Linked DNA regions of Oreochromis niloticus. Each later gene encodes a partner of the first gene's protein in a complex. Links are inferred from orthologs where the notes say so. Each region holds a gene or a part of one and is shown on either strand. Other genes may lie near its edges.

What was found.
Region 2: nckap1 (region 1) and wasf2 share a complex: the UniProt entries of both Homo sapiens proteins name them as parts of the WAVE2 complex. The link is inferred for Oreochromis niloticus from reciprocal best matches to the Homo sapiens genes NCKAP1 and WASF2.

The regions. Positions count from the first base shown.
Region 1 is NC_031978.2:5,315,081-5,327,614, forward strand, and holds the start of nckap1 (nck-associated protein 1), read right to left. Parts: upstream 6,319-12,534; 5' UTR 6,083-6,318; coding exon 5,975-6,082; intron 5,732-5,974; exon of another isoform or gene 5,259-5,731; intron 1-5,258. Other genes in the region: dual specificity protein phosphatase 19, read left to right, coding at 7,525-7,753. UniProt on the Homo sapiens protein: Part of the WAVE complex that regulates lamellipodia formation. The WAVE complex regulates actin filament reorganization via its interaction with the Arp2/3 complex. Actin remodeling activity is regulated by RAC1.
Region 2 is NC_031985.2:22,538,528-22,551,505, reverse strand, and holds the start of wasf2 (actin-binding protein WASF2), read right to left. Parts: upstream 5,363-12,978; 5' UTR 5,217-5,362; intron 4,079-5,216; 5' UTR 4,046-4,078; coding exon 3,913-4,045; intron 3,706-3,912; coding exon 3,571-3,705; intron 3,434-3,570; coding exon 3,280-3,433; intron 2,089-3,279; coding exon 1,971-2,088; intron 1,829-1,970; coding exon 1,707-1,828; intron 715-1,706; coding exon 559-714; intron 270-558; coding exon 1-269. Other genes in the region: methyltransferase-like protein 24, read right to left, coding at 7,557-7,862, 10,094-10,361, 10,525-10,661, 12,251-12,349. UniProt on the Homo sapiens protein: Downstream effector molecule involved in the transmission of signals from tyrosine kinase receptors and small GTPases to the actin cytoskeleton. Promotes formation of actin filaments. Part of the WAVE complex that regulates lamellipodia formation.

The DNA.
Region 1 (12,534 bases):
ATTTTTCAATTACAATTTTAATAAAGCTTTTATAAACAAGTTTGTTTTCTTAGTGTTAACAAGAACAAAGCCACCCGGAATTAGTCTTTGCACATGATTAAAGCTTAGAGTAAATACACTGCTCTATTAGTATTTAATTCTCTTTAATATGTTGCCAAACATGGCATTTTTTAAAATCTATATATATTATGAGTCTTTCCTTACACACACCATGCAGTATATTCAACTGCATGGTGTCAATCAATTGATCAGTTAGGCAGTCAATTAATTTTAATGACGTATGATTTGTTTCTTTCTGTCTTTATGTATCAAAGCTTGGCTACAAAGCCATGGCCCTATAAGCAAACTTAAAATTAATACTGGGCTCTGTTTTCACAAGTTCAGATTTTATTTCCAGTAGCATCTATTACATAAAAGAAAGGGAGAAACCCTCAGGAAACATTTTAGTGACACCAGGCATTTGAGGTCTGCTGTGACAGATGTGAAAGTGATACCATGAAGGGATGAAAGTCAGCAGGTTTTCATCCAAATCAAACAGCTAATTTCACTCATTGAGCACATGTTAGCAAAAAGAAGCACCTGAAAAAGTGCCGGCTCTTTCCTTAATGGCCAGCTCACCCTAACCAAATTTATATCTTCAAATCAAACAGAATTAATTTAAAAAATATTAAATCTGCCAGCACTCTGATGAAATTCACTTTGCACTGCATTTTCTTTGGGGCAACATGCCACTGAAACCATGTAAAATTTATGGAGGTCTTGGGCCTTATCCATCTCATAAAGTAGGCTTGAAATTAAAAATGAGGAGTAAAAATGCCCCTGGTAATCAGGTGTGCCCTTCAATAAATGTCAACCTGCAAATTTTCACCCCAGCAGTTATTCATTAATGTGTTAATGTCCCCTCTGGGCAACCATACAATAGGTAAGCTAATGGCCAGGCGATACTTCTCAGTATTTTCTCCGCAGCAAAAGGAAAGCAACCACATTTTGTGGATCAGAATGCAGAGCGTGATGCTGAAAAAAATGTTTTGAAGCTAAGGGGAAGAAAAAAAGGCTGGTGGTAAAAGACAGAAGAAGGGGCATTAAGTTTCTGGAAGGTAAAAGATATAACACTTTCAATAAATTTATAAATATTTGATATTTTACCAGTATATAATTTAAAAAAATATATATATTTTAGTTTAAACAAAATAGGATTCAGGAACCTGAAATGCCTCTGCCCCCAAATGGAAGAACAATTATTTTGGATTATCTTCCCAAAAACTGCTTCATTTCACCAAAATTTGGTATATCTTCTGTTTTGAATATGTTATTGTACAGTACTTTAGTCAACAACTGTTGTTTTTAAAAGTGCTATATAAATGAATAAACTTGAAACTTGAAGTTGAAAGCAAAAGTACTGCAAGAATCACCAAATTAGTAACGTTTCATAGATTCTGTTTAATTGTGATGGTGTCACAGATGTGTAGGTATAACTTAGGAGACCTTTGAGGAACTTTAAACTAGGGATGCACCAATCCATCTTTTTCCACTTCCAACATGATGAGGAATCCTTGGCTTTAAAGGTTTTCCAATACAGAGTACCAATCTGATAACAGAGTTAATATGTCTCACTGTGAGAAAATGACTGAGAATCATCATTTTATGAGCAAAGTTTGATGAAACAACTTTAATTCTAACTTGACTAAAAAGTGAGAAATACATCAAAGGACAAATTTACTGTACTACATGTCAAAGATGAATACAACACCATTTTAAAAAAAATACATTAACATTATCTATTTAATTTGTTTGTACTAGTCTGATTTCAGCCCACAGTGAAACCAACATCCCTCTAGCTCCTAGCTTACCTGATGTCTCTGACAGAACATAATCAAAGGAAAGTAAATACGAGTACCTGAATAAAAGTAAATATGAGAGAGAAGCCAACGCATCGATCCTGTCCAAGCGCTTAGATGTTAGCTTCTTCCGTGCACAAAGAACTGCACAGGATCCAGATATCAGATTGGTGCATCCCGAATTTAAACCTGACATCTGAAAAGCAGCCTAAAAGTTAAAGTTCCAGATATTTAAAGACTTTTCTATACATTTCAGCAACACAACTGCGTTCTTACATATTGGCCAGTTTTGATTTTAGTCACAATAAACTAAAGGCCTTTGACTCAAGTTCCTCAGACATGGATTAAGTTGTAGTCTTGGACTAAATGTGTTTTTTCAATGCTTCACTGAATGATTCTCTTATTTTAGGACTAAGCTTAATTCATTTGTGGGAAACTGACTGAATATGTTTAACACTAGCTTGGGGGTGAGGGGCACGAGGGGTTAGCTGAGTGTGAGTGGGGTTAAGACGAACCGATACCCTGAAGAAGTAATATGATGTTAGATGGTCCACTGGCTGAAAGATAAGCACAGCAAAGAAAAACTTTAATGCCAGCTCAGCCAAGAATAATTAAGGTGGCTTAATTAAGGAAGAGATTTTAGGGTTTCTGCAGACAGTCGATGGTGTGATGAGTTAATATGCTTAAAATGGATAGGAATATTGCTATGATCTTAGATGAATTACTATCTCCCAAAGGTAGAAACCAAACAACAAAGCAAACACAATTGTCTCTACTGATTAAATATAGGAAACTTTGATAGGGTTTGCAAGATTAAAGAACCAAATCAAAAGACTGAGCCCCTGGTTTTTGGTACAAATTTCTGCTCCAGTTCTTTTATTCCTAGCTTTGGGATGCAGCTAATACTGGATGTTAGGACGTTTTCTAATATTACAAGGTAAAATGAAGCATTAAAATGACATATGAACAGGTCAGAGAGGATATGTTCAGAGGATTTATGGTGGGGCAGGTTTGAATATAGATAGATATGAAGATGATGGGACAGACAGAAAGAAAAAAGGAAGGAAGGAAGAAGGGAGGGAGGAAAGGAAGGGCGTATTAAGAAGAGTAATCAGCAGCAAAATCTTAGTGTCTGACTGCTCATACTGTGTTGTAACTTTCACAGACATGCTCACAGCAAGTTATTACTACAGTGGCATTTTAGCTGAGTGTTTTACACAATGAGGGTGCCTTCAGACCAACAAAATAATGCTTTGAAAATTAAATGCTGTCGAAAGACACCTCCAAACTACACATGGGAAACAGTATCGGCTTTCAGACAGTTTAACACTCTACTCTTCACTTGTTAAAATTGGCTAAGATATGACTGACCTCTTTCACTCGCTCCCTCATTATCTATTCATCATAAATACTCAAGCAACAAAGGCTCATCCCACACAAACAGACCCACTACTCTTTTTTTCCTCCCACACACACAAAGCATTGGTGTAAAACTTGAGCAAGAGTCAGTTAACATTAGTAAATGTGTCTTATATAACTGAGCCTATTGCAATAAGAAGCAGATGTAGTATCAATGTGGGCACTGAAGTTATTTTCCCCCCACGTCAGTTTAGCTTCCGCATGAGTTTACTAGTTTACTCTATTTTTATTTTACTGAATTATTATGTGTGCTGATGTTTATTCATCAGCACACTAATGGCTCATAATTCTACAGACATCCCAGTCTAAAGCCTCCTCATAATTTCTGCCTTGGAAATTTTAAAACAATCAAAAAATGATTTCTAGTTTTTTTTATATTAGTTAACTAAAATGCATTTTGTTTGTTTTTTTTTTACTTCTGATCTAGTCTTGGTTTTTAAGTGTGCTTGTAGTCAACTGTAATAGCCTTAGGGCACTTTAACCACAAAGGGGGCAATAACATGCCAGTAGGGTGTGTTTTTGATGCTTTTGGGTGTATTCTGGTATGAAACTTTAAGGCTATGGTCAAAAAAGGTCAATTTTGCTTAGTTTAATTTGTAACTGAACAAAGTGAGCAGGAAGCACCTGCATGACAGCCATAAAAAGAGCTGGTGAGATTCTGATCCTCTAAATATGAAGGAAAGGAGATCAGCATGGCCCTTGTCACCTCCTTTTAGCAGAGGATAAAGCATCCTGTATCAAAGGAAAAGAGATAATACCATGCCATAATTCATAGCAATGCACTATCCAGCAATCAATCATTATGATTGTGAAACAAAGCTGATGGGGTAAACATTAATTAAGTTGGTTTTTCTTTTAATTTCACAACCTCCTGATATGTTATCAGCCGTGTTATACCAACAAGGAAAATTACGAAACGCAGGCTGTTGTGATAAAATCTGCTTCTTAGGAAGTTTCTGCCTTGCTTCAAGGAACTCTATGCATTTTTAGCATGTTCAAATCTTTACAGTTAACTGAAGGGTTGCCATAATTCATTTTTGCATCATTTCTGTCCAATACTGCTAATTCAGCCTTAAGGTTTAACTTTAATTAATATTACTTCAGGCTCAGAAAGCTTTAATAAAGGCAGGAGTTACACTGGGTCATCTCTCCAGCAGTGTCAACTCAATGAGACACTACATTTCACTCTATAAGCCATTTATTCCTACGTATTGAACACTGAAAAGCAAATGGGGGCAAAGTATCTCAGATAAGGTTCTTGTAATTCATCTTTGGGGCATTATACTGTCACCACAGCAGACCACATCAAGTTATTAAGGAGATTTTTATAAGCGCAGCCAGATTCTCTTCTCTTTCCCCAACTCCTTATAAATTATCTTTCAGGAGAGGGCTAAAGCCCTTTTCTCAACATGATCAGGAAAATGCAGCCCTGAAATTTCTCTATACAGACCCCAATTACCTCAAGAGGCTTTACTTTTTCCAGGCTGCCATTTAACCAGATGAATAAGAAAAAATTTTAATAACTTGCCTGGTTAAATAAATGGCAGGTACAAACTGGTATTATGTGAAAGTAAGGCTTTACCCTAGCCTAGCTTAGTTTCAGCTGATATCTCTCTATTACAACACACAGCCGTTTTGGCTATGAAGTCATGCTGATGGTTTCTAAATGATCTCTTGATAGCTTTATTTAACTTAGTATTTTTTATCTCCTTTTAAGCACATAATTTTACATTAAGTGCCTTTAAACATTAACATTAACACATGAAAAGCTTATTGGACAGATGTCAAACTGCATAGCATTTATGCAGTCAAGCAAAACGCCTGCTGGATACAGCTAGGGTGCAAATGAAACCATTCGTTTATCAATGACCAGCATATATATAAAAGATTAAATTCTGGTTGTATCATAAATATTTGTTCGATAATCAGTTGAAAATAACAACCGAACAAATGTCCAATTAACCGACTTTACTCGTTACTTTCGCTTCATTTTTTTTTTTTTCCACAATTAGTTTACCCAGCTAAACTAGGTACATGCCAGCTAGGTCTGAAAAAAAAAGCATCGAGTTCAGTTGTGTATATGTCAGTGACTGGGGTGAACTAACAGGCTGCCTGCAGCCGGAGTTTGGTGTTTTAGTGCTTCGTGTTTTGGCTCTTGGTGGAGAGAGACGACGCCCGACTCCTAGCTTTATTAGCAGTGGTTAGCTTAGCTAGCAGCCGCCGCCATTATAGCAGCCAACGACGGCAGCTAGCTCCCACCACTAACGCAGGCCCAGGGATTTAAGGGGCTTGTTTGGCTGTTTTGGTTCCTTTTGTTCATGGCGCTACCTATTACAATCAACTCCCATTTTCATTAATCTAACCGGAAATCAGTTCACGTCGTAAATCCAATGGCCAGCTTTACCGCAAGCTAACGCGACAGCTAGTGGCTAGCTGTGCCCACAACCTGCTTCCAGGGATACCAAAGGGATAACGTAAGTGTCGTTTGACGCACATAAACACGCAGTTAGTAAAATAATAATAATGCCTAATCTCTAAAATGAGACCTAAAAATCTTCTAACTGCTCTTGCCGTGAGAGTAGCAATCAGTGCTAGCTAATCCCATATATCTCCCTGATGTTAATTTGGGATGTCCTTAAAAAAAAAAAAAAAAAAATCTGTTCAAAGACTTGTATGCGATCAGTGGGGGGCACAGCCTTGCGTGTGTGTGTGCGAACCTTTTTGATATTGTAAACACGGGTCAGCATCCCGATGCCTCTGTCGTTGAGGATGGTGAGTTTTTCTGCCAGTTTCTGCTGGCTGGGCTGGATCACTCCCCGAGACATCTTCTCCTCGCTGTTCGCCTAAATCTCCAAAGCAATCCAGTAAAAATTCCACAAATCTCCGCAGTCTTTGTTCGGTAAAAATAGGGAAGAAATGGAAACTGTGATTTATGTCGTTATTAGATTAAATTTCGCCCATGTTCTACCAGCTTCCTGTACTCCACCCCACCGTCTCCCTGCCTGTTTTTCTTTTTTTTCGTTCCCTGGATGAGGAGTTGTCCTGGTTTTCACAACGAGGCTGGCTAATGCTGCGTTCACGGACCCTCGTTAATTTTTTATATTAAACACTTGGTGTATACTTCCAGATGATGCTAAGATTTTTTTTATAACAGAAGTTGGCAAATTCATTTGGTACACCAGCTAAACATTAACAGCTTATAACAAAGTAGTTTAAATAAGTAGAATAGGGGTCTATCACACCAACCGTCTGTATGTTCCCTTCCCTGGACTCTTCCTTTTTTCTTCCTGTTTGGCAGCTCTATCTTCAACATCCTTTATCCATTATATCCACTGCTCCTCCTCTGTACATATCAAAACCATCTCATCCTTGCCTTTCTAACTTTGTCTCCAAACCCTTCAACCTGAGCTGTCCCTGAGATGTACTCGTTTAAAAAAACAAACAAACAAAAGATCCTGACCATCCTGGTCACACCCAATAAAAATCTTAGCATCTTCAACTCTGCCACCTCCAGCTCAACCTCCTGTCCTTTTTGTTTGTGCCATCATCTCCTAATCATACGTCATAGCAGGTTTCACTATCACTACCTCTGCCCCTTGCAGTTATTAAAAAATAAGTAGAAGAGTATATGACTCAATAAAATCAAATAGAATATGACTGGGCAAAAAACTTAATAAGATGAAAAATAGTTTGAAATCAAAATAAATACAATAAACAGGGATAAAAATATTAAGTAGAAGTATAATTTTCTAACAGTGAAACCAGGCATTTAAAAATCTAACAAATTTACTATTTTATTTTGAGCATTTGAACGCATCACACTGTGACGTAGCTTCCGATTCAGCTGTCAGTCGCAGGAGCTTTCCTTTCTCACAGATTGTTTCGTTTTTTAAATTTTTTATCTTGTATTAAAAAAATAAAGCTGTGATAATGTGAGATTCTATTGCAGCGATGGCATAAAGCCATTTTAAGGCAGCAGCGGTCTAATCTTTTGCGGAAATTTGATTGAATCCAGTCCATTTAAAACCAGGTTAGTGCAAAAGTAGAGAAACTAACGTGTGATGTGTTTACATTCAGACATCAGCTTCACTTGTTACAGACATCAGTGCCTTCCCCCTTTTAGTTTAACATTTCTTGTGGCATACACACTTTTAGCCCAGTTTGTGTAACTATACATTACCAATACTTAACAAATCAATTACAAACTTAATGCTTCAGCTAAATATACGTTTGTATGTTTCAGGCGAGTCCTGTAAACTTTGTTGTGATGCATTCACTGGCTCAGGAGATCCACGGCTTCGCGAAAGACCGACTGAAGAAACAGTGCACGCGTGTTACCACAGTGACAGGCAAAAAGCTGCTGGAGAGGAGGAGTGATGGAGGAGAGGGAGATGTGGAGCAGGTTGAAGAGCTGGAGGAGGGAAATGGGTGTGGATTTGTAGAAGATAACAGCCTGGACCTCCAAGTTGGTGTCGTCAGACCGTTCCTCCTGCTGGGTAATCGCTGTAGCACCATTCTTACAAATGCTTTTTTTTCAGTGCTAATCCCACCACATGATTGCACTATTCTAGAACCAGATCAATATATCTGTTGGGCATTATTAGCAGTTGGCCTATTGGCCTATCACACGTATATCTGCATATAGATTGCCTGATATGCACCAATATTTTCACAAAACGTAACACAGAAATCTCTCATCGCTGTCTGCTGATTACACAGAGTGTCAGCAGTTTTGCATTTTGAATATTAAAGCATGCAAATCTATTTTAGTAACCCTCAACAGAAAACAGTGAATCTGGAAATATGCATGGTTCAACAGAAATTGATCTGGGTCTAACAAGTAAAGTAGCTGCAGAAGTGTTGTAAACCTGTATTCGTTCTCATGGGTGGCAGGGGGCAAAAATAATTCAAGTTGTCTAGAAGTCTATGGAAAAACAGCCCTACTTCTCACTTTTTCTGTGAGCTCAGTAAACCCTTTCCTGATGGGTTTGTGGTCTCAATCACTAGGTTCAAGACTCATTTAATAGAGCATGATGGCCATTTTCTAAATTGTCATCCAGTTTAGTGTAAAATTAGTGATAAAACAGGGTATTTGGCTATCTTGTGATTTGTAAGTCAATATCATGTCAAGCATAATTGCTCAGTTTTCTCAGTCGAATTCACCTATTGGCTTCTGAGTCTTAAAAGAGTCTAGTCTGGGGCGCCGGTTGAGATCTCTGGAATGAGCAGGCGACCATATGCCGCATGGCTGAGAGCGGATGACCCGGGTTCGAGTCCAACCCGCGGCCCTTTGCCGCATGTCTTCCCCTCTCTCTCTCCCCCCATATACACACACACACAACAGTAAAAAAAACAAAAGTAAGATTGGGATTTTACAAGGGCATAGTGCAAATTCCATTAATAAATAATATGTACACTATAAATCAAAGAAGCACCTGCAGGATGGTATAATACAGAAATATGTGTGTGGAACTTTATGCCTGCCAGGCGTGTTCACATATCACAGAAAGAAAAGTTATTGCACAGTTTCACAGAGAAGGGTAGGAATGATTTGCTAATGCGTTCTTTAGGGCAGCGGGGTTGAATAACTCTGAGTCATGTGGCTCTGTTGTAACTGACAAGTTATTGTACGAGCATGCAGCGTCCCTCAGTTTTCACACATGAACAAACAATTTGAGGACAATAAGCGCCAGATATTTTCCACACTTCTCCTTTGTCACATCTAACACTCGGGAGAAAATAGTCCACTTCAGAAGCATATGCACTTCCAGAAGTACTCTTTGTGTAGTTTACATGGAGAAGCTGCCTGGACAGAGCATGCAGGATGCATGTCACCTACTCTCTAATGGTACATTTACTGGAATATTACCCATGCTTTTCACACAGTGATACAACTGGACAGCACACAGGCTTTTCATAGCAGGATTCAATATACAGTCAATGGTATAACATGGACACAAATAAGAAGTTGATTTGTGTTTGTATGGATCAAACTTCTTCATCAGTCGAATCTAAGAAAAGTGCTCAAACATTTTGGTGATTTTGCCCCAAAACAAGATTTTAAAAAGCTTTTTTTTTACATGGACATTTTATCTCTACCACCATCTTTACTGTTGCTGAACCTTCCCACAGATTTAAATTCAGGACTCTTATAATGTCTCTGTGCAGATCCAGTTACTGTGGCAATGACTTAACATTATTAATTCCCAATAATGGATAAATCATTGTTGTTATTTTCAATTTGTCCAAAGATAAATGTTGACTTGGCCGTATAGCTGGAGGATGCAGCTTTCCACATGTCAGTATGCATCCACCCTGAAGCGTCCTTGAGCTTGACATTGAATTCCCACCCTGCTCTGAGGTTGCTGTTCACATCTGTAACTAACGCTGTGCTTTGACCTCACTGCGAGAAACAATCAACGAGAATATTTCTCAGCAGGGATCAATAAAATATTACATCTGTCTGGCTCAACAGAGGTGCGCTTCAAACACTAAAACCTGTTTTCATTCCCCAAAGTACCTCAGTGGTCACATCAACCTGTTATCACACTGTACAGGATGACAGGGCATGTGTTAATAGTTCTCTGATATTTTTGTAACTGCCTCTCTGTTTTTTTCAGTGCTCTTGTGACAGATTTTCATTGTATATTCTGTAAATAGAGTACAGTACAGCTCTGTCAGGCTGGAGGCAAGTTCCTCTCTGAAGGCTTTGTGCAGACTCCCTCAGTTGTCTTTGGCTTGATGCCGTGATATTGCTAATATTTATAATGTGTTGCTGTCCTCTGGCTACAATCCAGTGACAGTTATTATATTTTGACATACACATAAATATCATCCAATTTAAACTAGCTCCTATATCTCCACGATATCGGTTAAAAATAGCAAACAAAAAAAACTTTTTATGATTTTATATTTCTTGCAAAGTGTCAAGTCATGGAAATGATATTCGTTCCCCCTTTTAGATGCGTTTAATATGAAGCTATAGCCAAAGAAGAGTCCTAGTATAATAGTGTGCCTGGCTCCATCCTAAAATTAAAATAAACTACCTACTAAAAGTCTTTCAAAGCGTTCCAACTTACAGGTTTGGGTGTTTTTCATTTAACCCAAATGTCTGTAGAAACTTTGTTGGGCTTCTATTTTTAAAGTGTAGAAAGGCTAACCGCATCCCCCTGTTTCCAGTCTTTATGCTAAGCTAACTAGCTGGTGCTTAATATTTTTGATCTTTCAAGCAAATACAATGTTGAACTGATTTGTGTTTGACTGAGGGTAATAAAACATATAGGAAATATCTCATATGAGCAACTTTGGAATCTTGAAACAGAACATTTTACTTTAAATAATTCAATAAATACAATTTATTATTATTAGTAGTAGTAGTAGTAGTAGTAGTACAATTAGTAGAATTAGTAGTAGTAGTATTACAGCCACTGGCTTAAACTAACATTATTTTTCTTCGACTGTGGCCTTAAACATCTTTTGAAAAGAAATGCCCAAAAAAGGTCTCCAGATAAAGGGAAGGGAATTTCTCCTACAGCATGTGTGTGAGGGATTTTTCCTGAAGACTAAAAATGACCGTGTGTAGTGTATCTGATCCATGGAGGCAAAGAAGATTGCTCCTCTTCTAGCTTTTGAGAGACAGGATGGAGATAAAAATATAAAAAATAGCAATCGATTAAGACACATTTTTACCAAATCTCATTATTTATAGAATAAAAATTGACTCTTTTTTCCCATTATTGATTCAAATGCATCTACAACAACATCTGCAGGCAAGAGCAGAGAAGTTGTTCTCTGTGTGTGTGCGGGGTATTCATTGTGATGATCTTCAGTATTTTTTCATGGTACATGTCGCTCAAAGGGAGGATTCTCCCTTACCAATTAAAAACACAGATACAATTTTCACTGATAAGCAGCAACATGTAATAATGATATACAAAAATAACTAAATGGAAATGCAGTGAAAATCAATAGAAGAAGTATCGACTTAATTTCAAGGTTTTGGGGCAAAGTCTGCCAACTAAAAAATGAAAGTGGCAAAACCTCAGTCACACAGGCCTGGAGACCAGTTGGTGACGCTCTGGCACCCTCAGTTGCTATGGGGGAAATGTACAGTGATGAAAGAAAGTATTTCTCTCCTTCCTGACTTCCTTGTTTTTTGTCATATTTGTCACACTAGAATGTTTCAGGCCATCAAACAAATTTTAATATTAGACACTGATAACCAGAGTAAATACAAAATACATTTTGTCAATGATGATTTCATTTATTGCAGTTCTGCGTTCTTTTGTGACCTCGTGGATGAGTTGTGAGCACGCTCTTGTTGTAATCTTCATAGGCCGACTTCAGTTTTCTCCTTGAAATGGCTTTGTCACTTTGGTTCTCATCTGTTCTTGAGTTTCTTTAGCCAGTGGCATGTTGTGTTGCTTTGAGTTCACAGACAACTCTCTAGGTCTGCATAAATGAGGCTTTAGCGATTGATTTTGTGGTGGTGGCCAAAAACCAGCTGCATTACACTTTTTAACCTCGCAACTGGTGGTTTTCAACTTGCCTCTAAGGCTATATGACTGGGGCCTAACTTTAATGTGTCTTCATCCCCTGTGCAGTAATTGTTACAACAGAAACAGTAACAACTAAACACTGTTTTTGAACCCTCTCATGTTGGGAAGCTCTCTCCATTAATTTGATACTCACTTTAATTTTACTTTTGGTTTCTGTGATTCTACCACTTCACCTTATCCCTTCCCTTTTAACAACAGAGCTTGTTTTCTTTTGGCGGATTGTATCCACCGTTACTTTGTTTCCACTTTCCACCATGTCAGCTACGTGGGGAAAACTACAGAAAATAAAAGTGCTTTCCTCTTCTCGGTGAGAGCCAGTCTAATTGTTGACCACATTAATATTCAGTTGGCTATTATACTGTGCAATAATAATAATTTATTATAAGTTAAAGCAAAAACATGTCTACCTCTGCTTTAATAACACCAGCACATTGAGTCTATTGATTTTCTAATAACATCTGCCACACACCACTAAAAATATGATGGACATCTGTCTACTCTTCTTTAGCATACTCGCTGAACAAGGTCCCCTGTCAGACTCTTATTTAAAAAGTGCTCTAAAAATCCTGGCATCCTTTCACAGAAGTGTCACTGTAAATCATCTTCTTCTATACTGATGAGACATATGGGCCGGAGCAGGCTTATTTCCAAACACATGCTCAGTCCTTTGGCTTTAGATGTGCATCTCAACACCATGAGTTTGGCATTACGTAAAAGTG
Region 2 (12,978 bases), on another chromosome or scaffold:
GAGTGATGGCGGACATAGATGGGGGAGGAGGGGGAGCAGGAGGAGCGGAAGAGGAGAAGAGCGGAGGGGGAGAAGGTGGGGTGTCAAAGCCAGAGGGAGGTGGGGGAATCCCAAAACCAGAAGGTGGAGGAGGGGGAGGAGGTGCAGGGGGAGGAGAGAGACTTGGGCGGGAGTTGTTTGGGGAAGAAGCAGTGGGGGGAGCTGGAGGAGGGTGGCTTGGACTCAGCATGCTGACACGCTTCTGGGTGGGTGCTCCATCGTTACCATACCTGTAAGTGATGAAGAGGAAGTTGGAGGTATAAAGGATAATATAAACGGCATAATGGAGCCTTCACTTCCCTCCATTAACCTGCAATTTGTGTGCAGCTGCTTCCAGAGCAGCTCCTATTCATTAAAGAATCACAAAGTCAAAGACTATAATCCATTTAGCTTCAGCTCAGAAGGCGCGTATAGGATTGGCTGTACTTTCATATGGCTGTACTTTCACTACATGTTTGCAGGGGTGGTGGTGTGCTATGAGCATGTGTGGGCTGGTATGTATGATGTTACAGTACTTACGCCATGTCCGGAGGTGGAGGAGGCAATTCATCGGGACCGGGAGGAGGAGGAGGCGAGCTAGGATCATAAGCATAGGAGTTTGTGCTAAGCTCAAGGCTTTCAGAGTTGAAGCCCTCCCCAGATCCAATACTGCCATTCAGGCCCTCAGAAGAATTCCTTATAAGAAATGAGACATCGCTGTGAGTCCAAAAATAAACCAGACCACAAGTACAAATAACAAATAATAAGAAACACGGACGTGATTAGCATTTGGTGCTCAGGCAGCATCTGTTTATGCACATTTATAACAATTTCAGAGACGTGCCAAACGCATTTTAAAGCAGCAGAAACAGATCATTACACAAAGTGTTGAGAGAGAATAGCTTGTTCTTCATCTATACAGCTTGTCAGGAAATCGGACTGTTTTTTCTCCTTATCAGGCCTGCTGTGAGGCCGATGAAACACTGCAGGAGCTGAATCAGCAAAACTTCCCATTTTGGTAAAAAGAATATAATCCAAAACAAGGAATTTAGGACTCTTTGATGTTATTGAGTTATAATGAGTACTATTAACTAATTTGTGCACATATATTTGTTGTATTCATTCTATTAATTATGACATATATTAAAATAAAAAACAAACATATATACATATGCAAACACACACACACACACACACACACACACGTATAAAAGTATGCAACAATATTAGTCCCATCAAGAACAGGGCCCAGTGTGACTCACACATTTGTTTACTGCAATTTTCCAATGACGGCCAGCTCTACACCCAACCCCCCGAGAACATTTTCTGACAGGACATACCACCCAAACCACTGTGTACAGATCCGGTGATAAGGGGGGAAAGAATGAGCAAAATAATGTCTGATCGGTTTTTTTACTTTGTAAAGAGAAAAAAATAACTTTTTATTTTATTAATTAAATTATTTATAAGATATGCTTGAAATCCACATTAAAGCCTACTGGGTATGTCAGGGCTCAGAGCCACTGCAGCCTTGTGGATGACGCTGGATGAAAATGATTGACGTTTTGTGATGGACTATTGTGAAGATATTATTTTACTATAATTAGACTTTGATGGTTTTTGTTCTTTTGATTCCCGGTCACTGTTAATGACTGATAAACAAAAAGGAGGCATCTCAGAAAACTTACATCAAGTCAGACTTTGGTACAACAAACTCCTCTCCCATCTTACGCCGTTCCCATTCGTCCTTTCTGGTCTTGATCTTTCGAGGATTGAGGGTCCGCTGGTTCAGATGGTCTTTCTTCTCCTTCTGCTCATTAAGGAGACGGTTTAAAAAGTGCAAGATTAGCACTGGATTCGAACAATTTCATGTGATGTGACTAATTGTAGATTGCTTTTACTTATGTAATGACTCATGTCTTTGTGCGTATGAGGGTGTTTATGAGTCTCACTCTGTGCTTGCGTTTCTCCTTCATGATGTCCTTGGTGTCCTGCAGCATCTTCTCCTTCCACAGGTCAAAGAAGTAGGAGGGGTCGGTGTAAAACTTTAGGGCCTCCTTCCCATCGTCTCTGTAGACAACAATTTACAGACATTAATAATTATTTCTAGTTATCATTTGCACAATGTGCTATCTTACAAGTATGAACAAAAAAAAATAAATACAGTGTTAGTTAAAAGATGGTTATCTGCCATGTGTGATAGTCTTAAGATGCCAGTAAACTTCCCCTTTTAAAAGAAAACTTCACTAAAAATACACTAATGTCTTTAGTCACATCCACATCACACTGCGCGGATAAATCATTGTCCCCAAAGAATGATCCAAGTCAAATTATTACCACATTTACATTCAAACCAGGCACCGCTCTACACATCACATTTAACATTGCTGGGGTAATTACGCAGAGATCATCCTCTCACTCTCATCTGCCTTCTGATTATTCACACTTCAGATGACACATCTTGCCTTGTAAATGATCTACACTCACAGATATCTTAGCTTGTGACTAAAGACGCTTTACATGCATCCATCCGTCCCTTTTTCTTCCACTTATCTAGGCTGGAGCCTATCCCAACTACTACACAGCAAAAGGCAGTGTACACCCTGGACAGGTTGCCAATCAGGGCTCCCACAGAGAGACAACGATTCACAGTCACATTCACACCCACAGTTGATTCATAATCAACAATTCACATAAAATGCATGTCTTTGGACTGTGGGAGGAAGCTGGAGCAGCTGGAGAGAACCCAGGCAATGGTGCTAACCACGACACCACCATACTGCCCTCTGGGGCTATTTCCCACAGAGTATCTTCCCACAATCAATTGATTGGTGGGTTATTTAACAGCAAAACCAACAAGTGTGGCTTGTCAAACAGCTGTAAGTATTAAAACCCCCAAACTGCCTGGACTTAAACAGGTTACACACTAAAAACAAAACAACAGGGAAGACGATGGCGTCGACACCATAATTCTCCAGGATTTTGCAAAGGCGTACTATGCGTTTTCTAGTGTAAAACTGCCAGTTGTGTTGGACTGAGCCTCCTTAAATCAAACCTAATACTGCCTAGACACCTCCGAGACCCACTCCTTGATAAGAAGCACATGTAACAGGGGTAAGCTTAAATAATGCACAGTCATTACAAGAATCTCCCATGCATGTGTGTTTCCATATGGGCACATGCGCTTGCACGTGTTCTTGTTATTAACTGCTGGAGCTGCTGCAGTGGATAAATATGAGCTTGGTCTGTGCAGCATCTTACCGGTATACGCTGAGCTGGTTGAGCGGTGGAGGAGGATCGCAGGTCGTGTAAGTGTCTTGTACAGGCATTGGCAGAGACGGCCTGGTGAAGAGCTGCTGGTCCTGGGTCAGACTGCTTTTGAAAGCCTTCTTTGCAGTGATTCCCTGCAAAGTAACTGAGAGAAACAGACCGGCAATGTTTTAAACATGTATTGTGTTCATTAGATTCTCTGCAAAGGAGGTTTCAAACCAATACTCTACACTGATACCAGCATAAGCAGTAACGTTAACAGTAAAATGTGCAAGTACATACCCTCCTCTTCTTTGGGGTCCAGCTGGGTGACTTTAACCTGCAGGCGATCCACTCTTTCTCCAAGCGAGCTCACCCTGCCGGCAAATTCTCCAGCCTGAACAAACAGCTCCCCGAACACGTCCTCTGCATATTTGCCTGCACGCGTGCACACACACACACAAGTTTCTCACTTGCACCAATTAAAGGATTTATCTCACGCATACATAGCCAATGAAAATTCATATCTACATAAAAATGCATTAACCTTTGTTTAAAAACAATAAACATCCATGTAATACATATTCATCACTGCTCATTAACCATTCATACACACACTGACACCCGAGCATAACAGAAGCTTACTGAGGCTGCCGAGCTGGCGGATGATGTTGGCCAGGCTTATGTTGGTGACACATTCCAGCTCACTGCGGATGTTAGAAGGAATGGGATGGCGACAAATATGCCGCGGCTCTATATTCCTCGTCACCAGAGGCATGGTGGGGTGTGCTGGGGGTAGGGCAGCCCAACCCTGATGGAAAAGGAGAGGTAGGTCAGGGGAGTGAAAAACATATAAATGTAATCAAATTAATATTAAATTTTACTATATTTTCGCACCCAATGAGCACCTATTTTCATTATGACACGACTGTGAACTGGTCCTAACAATTCGCAGACTAATCAAATTGAGGTAAAAAACAAAAAACATGTTCCTTCCATTCCTAAATAAGTCACATGAGACAGACGCCTACAAAAATACACTGACCCAGACAGAGCTAAAGCAGAAGCAAAACTATGCCTTCGCTCCACCCATCGAACATGCACCACCCACCCGGTTTAGAGTGGACAAATCTAATATGTCCAAAATAGCAAAGAGCAGAACTAGGTGGATTTGTGACTTCCCCACTGCTTACAGCAGTGGAAACACATCACGTTATTTTAAACAGATTACAGTCAGGGCAGCGGTGTGAGCTCACGCAGTGCAGTAGGTCCACAGTGTCCAGACTGAATAAGATAAGCAAACGACAGTTCCGATTAAGGGGTCAGAGATTTGCAGTGACTGCAGACTCTCCCTGCTTTCAACACAGTGCGGCCTTGATTTTGGTTTAGTCTCTAAGTACAGCCTGTTGTGACTGCTGTTGCCCATTGCAGCTGCCTAATTACAAGTTTTTTCCTGTTGGTGGTGAATCATGGCATAAATGTTACTGTGTGTAGAAAAGGAAAGAAAAAGAAAGCGGGAAAAAATGGAGGGTCGCTACCTTCGTACCTCGGGATGTGTATATTACCAAGCTACCTGGAGGATTTAGTGATTAATCGTGAATGAAGGAATGCGTCCATTTCAGGCTTAGAGGCTTGTTCGTCACTGACAGGTCGCCCACTCTGCCTTTGACAAAGTGCTATTAGCCAGCTTTACTGCACTTTTTTCCCCAACTTTACACCGAGCTCCTAACTTTCTCTGACGTGAGTAAATACGTGGTAAAAAAGACGGGTTACACTTTTTTTGCGTCCCCAACTTCACTTAAATGGATTAAATGTAATTTGGGATGTCGGCCTTGTCAGAGCAGGAAGTAACTTCTAGGCGCCTCTTATATCGAAGGAAAAGCCAAACAAACATACATTTACGCCACTCGCTTAAACAAAACAACACTCAACAAAGACATTTCACTTACCGTCAAACCTGGTAACCGTAGGCGTCTCTTTATACAGCCCTACAGTTGTTATTGTCTCAAGATTTTTCTTAAGAAATGTTGTTCGGTACTCTATGCGAGACCGAGCTAAACAGATCGCCCAAGTCCCGAGGTTGCAAACTTCTGATTGGTCGAGCGGCGGAGTTCTTCGAAGCTGATTGGCTGTTGGGCCTGTCGCCTGCTATAACCGAGAACAGGATGTGGAAGTTGCAACGTAAAAAGCGCAACTCCACCCAAACTAGCGGCAAACATCTGTCCGCAATTTACGTAAGAGAGGGTGGAGGCAGCGCCACATTCCAACGTGCGCTCAAGCGAGTTGGAACGCGTCCGAGGAATGACTGGCATTAGGAATGACTGGATAAAATGTGCTGTGGAGAAAAGCTCCTACCGACAAGCAGGTTGTCCAGTAAGCCTCGGTGAGTGTTAAGTGCCTGCTTAACCTCAGCTCAGCCCGAGCAAACTGCAGAGCTTCAAGTTAGCGTGCATCCAGTGAAGACTCAATCACATAGAAGTTGGCGTCAACTCTGTGAATATGTGGTGAATACATTTGAGACGGGTGTGGTTATTTTCATGTTGCAATGGGCTTTATCTTGTGCCCACATTTGTTTTGGCATATAAAGTTAACACTGTTACACCCAGCTGCTTTTGTTTTCCTTCATAGATCAAGTGTCCATACAATGTGGTTGGAGGAAATAGACTATCAAAGTAATTTAATTGTTGAACGCTTGTAGACTTCTTTTTTCTTTTTACTTTTTTGTGCTGTTTCCCACTATCAAGTCCATGTAAATACAGTACGTAGGTTGATGTGTGCTTCTCTCAAATTATTAAACACAACCTTTAGAATACACTCATAAAGACATTAAACCTTGTCATTTGTAAACAACCACAGATTCCAAGATCATCAGTACAAACAACTATATGTGAGTACAAGTTATTGAGATGTGTCACCACTTTGCCAAGGCCTAGAAGAAGCCCCGAACTGTCACCCTCAGTGACAGGAAACTGGTTAGGATGTTCAGGAATAATCCAAGAACCACCAAGGCTCAAGCCTACTGCGAACTGGAAACTGCAGAAACACCAGTGTCACTGTCCACAGTGAAGCATCACCATGGACTGAGAAGGTGCTTACCAAGAAGGAAGCCCCTGCTCCAAAATCAACATCTTCAAGCTCAACTTAAATTTGCCCACATGGACAAACCAAATACCTTCAGAAGAAAGATTTGATGGTTGAGATGGTCAATGGACAAGATAAAGCTTAAGCTATTCTCTAAAGTTGTAAAGAGTAAAGTTGAGGCTCTCAAACCAAACAACACGGTCCAGCGGTTAAGGATGATGGTGGCAGCGTCATGCTTCGGGCTGTTTCAAATTCTTCAACTTCACCTCAAATCAACAGCTAAACGGTTGAAACGTGGACACAATTGGATGTCTTAACAGGAAAAATCATATCAAGCACATAACAGTTTTTCGAATGGATAAAGCTATAATAAATATAGGAAAATATGGATAAATATAGAAAAAAACAAGAGATAATTATTTTTTTATTCAATTCAGTTTTATTTATATAGTGCAACATTGAAACAATAGTTGCCTCAAGGTGTTTATCTTCCACAGGACACAAATTATAGGTGCTCTGACACACCTGACCCATTGCATTACAACCAGTCACTAACAGAGTAACCCTTATTTGGAATTTAATGTGGTGGGAATTTAGGTTTTAAACTCCAACTTGATTGCTTTCCTCTAACACATTTTCACAGTATACACACTCATTTTACTATAAAATCTAAGCTCTTCTTTGATGTAAAATTTTATTGCACATATAAGTAATTAAAGCTTACAGTGATGTACTCAAAGAAGTTAACCTGTTGGATCAGACTCAGGTCAAAGGGTTGCATTCTGGGATTCATTGGTAAAAAAACAAACAAACCCACAGCGTTATGGTACAACTGTTAAATAAAGAATAGCCTGTCAGACAGCTGTTTTGCGTTCAGAAATAGTTGGAACATACATACATCCTTTGTGACACAGCAAAATCTGAGTTGAAAATAGTTGTTATTATTTGGCCTGTAACTTGGTTAAAACAGCAAGCCCTTCTTCTGCTCAATATTTGGATACAATAAAATGCTGTTTTAAATATAAATACAGTTTCTGTTTCAGAGTTGGTTTTACCCTTTAACTGCAGATTTCTTCATGTCCACTAGAGGGAGTTGTCACGTGAAGAACTGTGTATGCCTGAAATCCCAGGAAAAACAGGAAACTTCACTAGCTGCTTCCCCCTCTTTGGATAATGTGTGCGCAGCTTCATCCATCAGTGTGTGAGTCTCAGTGTCGTGTGTTTACCCAGCTGAGTGTGTAGGAACTGTGAGCATTTGCTACTGTCTGTTTTAGGACACTGTGACCCTCTCCTGCAGAGCTGTGAACCAGCTTGAGTCCACAAGCTTGAAGACCTTGAAGGACACTGAACCAATAGCGGAGCACTTCCTCATCCCTACCGGCCACCTCAAACCCTGCCCACTGCAGGTGCACCTTGGCAACAAGATGGTGGACATTCTGTAGAGTTCCTGCCTCGATCCAATTCTGAAAAACGCGCCACTCGCCGCTTAGCAGGTCAGCATACAGGAAGTGAACCTAAGGAGAAGAAAGAACAGAGGAAAGTACGGCTCTGGTCTAGCACCTCCCCACCCTCCCAAGCACATACATAGGAAGCCTAAGTTAGCAAAACACCAGATACAGAACAAAGCAGGCTTTTAGCAACAACAGAAAAGACACTGATTAAGTCAGGAACAGAATTTCCAGTCAGCATGCTAAAGCACTGTAAAAAAAACATATTAGATTTGCATATCAGCTGATGTGAATTGGGATGGTACTGAGATCAGCTCAGCTTTACTAAGAACAATTCCCAATACTGTTTATATGTTTAATGGTAGTTTATTAGGATATATTCATGCTATGAGGGTGGCTGTGGCTCAGGAGATAGAACAGGTCGTCTGCCAATCCCTGCATCCCCTAGTCTGCATGTCGAACTGAACCTGGAGTTTCGCCCAATGCATCCGTTGGAGTGTGAACGTATATGTGAATGGGTGACTAGGCTTGTAATGAGAAAGTGTTCTGAATGCTCAAAGTATCAGTTCATTTACCATTTTACTGCTTTCCATAGTGGACCTGTTGCTTATTAATCATACATATGATTATATATAATCAAATATTGAAGATCAAATTATTAGAATTATTAGCTGCAGTTCTCGGAGAAATCGATTGCAGCTCACTGGCAACTGTTGAAAAAACATCCTTACAAGCTAAAAAGTCACAAAATAGAACAATACTTAAAATGTTGAGTCTGTTGCCCTCCCCCTTTAGCATGCAGCAGTAATTAGTACTCTTTTTTTTGTACTGTTATAACCTCTAGTGCCACAATTACATGGCGCTTGGCGATCTTGTTTGTGACCTTACAGTCAATTAATGTTTCATATGCCCCAGCTTACAGTGCTTTCACACAGTGTTTTCCCCCTTCCTTCAAGAACTGCAATGACGTGTTTGCAGTAACTGACAATGAGTCTTTTCCATCACTGTAAAGGAATTTTAGCCCACTCTTCTTTGAAGAACAGTTTTAATTCAGTCACATTGGAGGGGTTTGTAGTTCTTAAGATGCTGTTCTTGGTTCTTTTGTGACCTCCTGGATGAGTCGTTGATGCGCTCTTGGGGTAATTTTGGTAGACCGGCCGATCCTGGAAAGGTTCACCATTGTTCCAAGTTTTCTCCATTTGTGAATAATGACTCTCATCCTGGTTCACTGGAGGCCCAAAACCTTAGAAACGGCTTTGTAACCTTTTCCAGACTGATATGCGTCAGTGATTTTGTTTCTCAGTTGTTTCCTTAGATTGTGAAGTGAACATGACGTGTTCGCTTCACTTTGTTAGACAGGTTGTATTTAAGTGATTTCTTGATTCAACAGGTCTGACAGTAATCAGAACTGAGTGTGGCGAGTAAAATTGAACTCAGCTTTCACAAAAAATCTGGTTAATCACAGTAGATTTAATTAACAGCACTGTCGGTCATAAATGTTGGAACAACTGAGCCACACAGGTTTAAAAGCTGGCAATGGCAGCCACTTGTGTAGTCTACGTCATGGGCTCTACATACTTGAACCAAATTTGGATCAAACTGGAGGCAATCAGACACTGAAGCAGCCAAAATTGATTTGCTTGTCCAATCAGGGGGAAACAATACATGAAATCTCTAATTAAGCACATGAACAGTGTTCTGAGTTGTCCAAACATCTTGTGCACCAGGTTTGGTTATTTTTGGATGAAATCTGAATAACAGAAAGTCAAATGTGTTAACAAATGCAACAAATGTGCACGGTCTGTATCAATCTCCTCTGCATCATCCACTGAATCCATACAGCTGTGTTAGAATTTTCCTTGTCCATCTAACAGTGAGAAAGTTTAGCCCCCCCCAAAAAAAAATTTAACCCACTCATTTGATCATTTATCCACCTATGGTGGCGCTATTGCTTACATGAAGCATATGACAGCATATGAAGCTATTGTATATTTTAACTCCATGCTGTGGCACTAATTATTTATAGATGAACATACTGGACTGCTTGCAATTCTGTCACACCGCACATAATCAAACTCCAGGTATGCAGTTCCCTCTTGTGGCTGCAGGAAGCAATTGGGTGATTCATTCACTTAAACTGTTGCCATGGTAGCCAGAGATGGCGCAGAGCCCTGTTGCTATGGGAACATCTGAGTAAAAGAGCTTTCGGGGTATGTTGGGGTGAAAAGACTCTAAGGTATGTTTGTTTGGCACTGTTTGTCTACATTTCGGTGTGTGTGCATGCGTGCGTGTCTTACTGTGTGATGTCCCAGAGCTGCCATGATGTCTGCCAGTGTCTGAGAAACACCACCCGGGTTTCCTCTCCTCTTGTGCGCGCGCTTCTTTGGAGCTCGCCACTCAAGCCACATCTTGTGCTGGCTGACCACGCCTCCATCGCCATGGTTACTAGCCAAACTGTTGCCAAGGTGACCACCAGATGCATTAGAGTTGCTGGGATCAAAACAGTGTATTTCACATCCCAGCCCCGACACAGTCTTCAGAAAGTCTGCATCTCCCCCATCCATGCTAGAGAGACAAAGACAGGAAGGAAGGCAGGAGAGCGCAAAGGCCGTTTGAACATTATTGCATGCATGATTAAATATGCATTGCATTGTTTATTCCAACTGAACCGGTGATAAGAATGCATAGCAGCACGTGCACTGACATAAGGCTCAGACAAGTGGCACACCTGAAGGAATATGCGACACACGTTTTGTGTGTAGCTGGAAGGAGCCAGTCCTCAGCACACAGCAGCCAATGGGCTGGCGCTGCAGGGCTTTGTGCTGGCTGAGCCCGCCCTGGAGATAAAACCTTGGAGCAGTTCATCTGGGGACAGACAAGAGGAAAGAGTCACATAAGACTGGCTGGATGGAGGTCTGGAAACAGCGCGACACAGAATTAGCATTCAAATGAGAAGAGGGGAAGCTAAAGAAGGAGAAGTTGTTCAGAAAAGTGGCCAGAATTGTGTAATTTGTGAGAACATTGCAGAGTCATGGCTCGAAATATCTTTGAATAAACCAGAATTGTTTAACGATAAACTCATAATTTGATGGCGGCTGTTTAAAAAGGCCACACGTGAGATGCTTTAATTTGTTGCATTGAATAATTAACGGGGACTGTTTCTGCTTTTTTCTTATTTTCTGTCACATACGCTGCTCCTACTTTGTGCTCACATTAAGCACGGTGAAAGTTTCAAGTCATGCAGTCAGAGAAAGTTAAAGGTTTCAAACAGCTCTGTTGAAATGTCACCGACTGGCTATCCTTATACGGTCATCTCAAACAAGGAGCTCTGTCTGTGAGCACTGATGCCCCACCCACCTGCAATTCAAAACATTTTGTTTGTGAGGGGCAGCCAATCACAAGAAAGCTGGCTCTAAAGTGAGACACAGAAGGTGAACTAACATGCTTCCCTGAGGTCTAGTATGAAATAAATAAGAATTCATTTAAGTCTGAGAATAAAAACATGGAGCATTATCAAGCCCCTTTAAATAATACCAAACTAAACCAGCACACAGTTTTTTTTAATTCTTACATATATAACTTTCCTTCCCACTTCTCCAGCACTTGGTGTTGCGTAAGTTTTTACTCTTGTTTGGGAGTTTCCTGTCTGGAACAAAAAGTCCTTACTGGCTCCAGATTTGGTAGATTTCTGCTGCCAGCATATTGACAGTGCCTGACTGATCATATTACTGCTATGTTAACCCCCACACTCGACTGCAGTCAAAGAAGTGTAGTAGTCAAAAAAAATGAAGTTGTTTTTTTTTATTGATTTCTGTTAAGGCTTGGCAAGGTCTAACTCCTGGCTACAAAAATTTGAAGCCCCCACTGAGCTGGAGAGCAGCCTTCGGGGAGTGCGTTATTTATTGGACCAGTGGTTTCCATCCTAAGGGCTGGGACCTCTCCAAGGGGTCAGAAGATAAATCTGGCGGGGGGGGGGGGTCATGAGACCAGATTTTTAAACAGACAGGAAAGATAAGAAAACCGTCTGCAAATAAAAACCTGATTTTTCTTCCGTGACTTTCCTCGTGAAATATAGCAAGCACTTTTTAAAGGGTCACAAGCCAAAAGTTTGTGCATTCGACTATATAATATGTGTATTACTGCACATACAAGTCCTTTATAACTTCAAGTTGTATTCATCCTGTTATTTCTCATTGCTTATCTGTAATCTTGTGAAGTGTGTTATGCTGTAGGCTTACTATAGTCTCATTGTTCTACAGTCCCATAAACGGTTAAAAAATTACCAGTCTTCAGGTTGCGTTACATAAAGTAAATGATGTTAGGGAGTTTTGAAATCACTCTCAGACATTTCAAACCCTCTGATTATTTTTGCATTTGCTCTTTCAGTTTCGGATAACTTTGTGAAGGAAACATTTTTCACTGCAGTATTTTGGATGGCGCTCTGCGCAGCCTACCTGTGGCCTTGTGATGTACGAGATGATTCGATTGAGCTCTGCTGTGAAGGATGGCTCGCCTGCTGCCCACAGCTGCACTTCCAATGCTCTGGGCCCCACCTGGGAACATGCATGACGTGTATATTTATATATACTCCAGCGCAAGGAATACCAACACATCCAAGAGAATTCTGAATGTGGTTAAATAATGTATAGGAATGGCAGTAAAGTGTGCGAGCGCCCAGGTAGGAGTGCAGAGGAGCCAGGTCACAGGCACTGACCTCCGTCCTGCTGGTATTTGCCTAAGGCGGTGTAACATACAAACACACGTTTGCACACACAACCCCACCATCACCATCAATCCCCACCCCACCTAACTCAGAATGAACCTTTTGGTCACCATGGCAACCTCTGTGGGGAGTGTAGGGGGGGGGATGATTCACTAGAATGAGTCAGAGTTTAGCCTTGGGCAGATAAAGAGACAGTGAGAGAAGAGCAGAGTGAAAGCGAGAGGGCGAGAGGAGTGAGAGGTGAAGAGGGGACAGATGCACCTACACACAAACACAGATGGAGGATGTAGCACTCTGCAGCTGAAGGGCAAAGACAGAAAGACGGGAACAGCTGTCATCTCTCTCTGATGTGGGGTCAGCGCTGAGCTGCGCCCCCTGCCCTCACCTGTCCCATCATGCCTGTAATCATGCAGGGAGTCGTGCACAAACTGGCCCAGCATAATAAATGAACTGGATGAG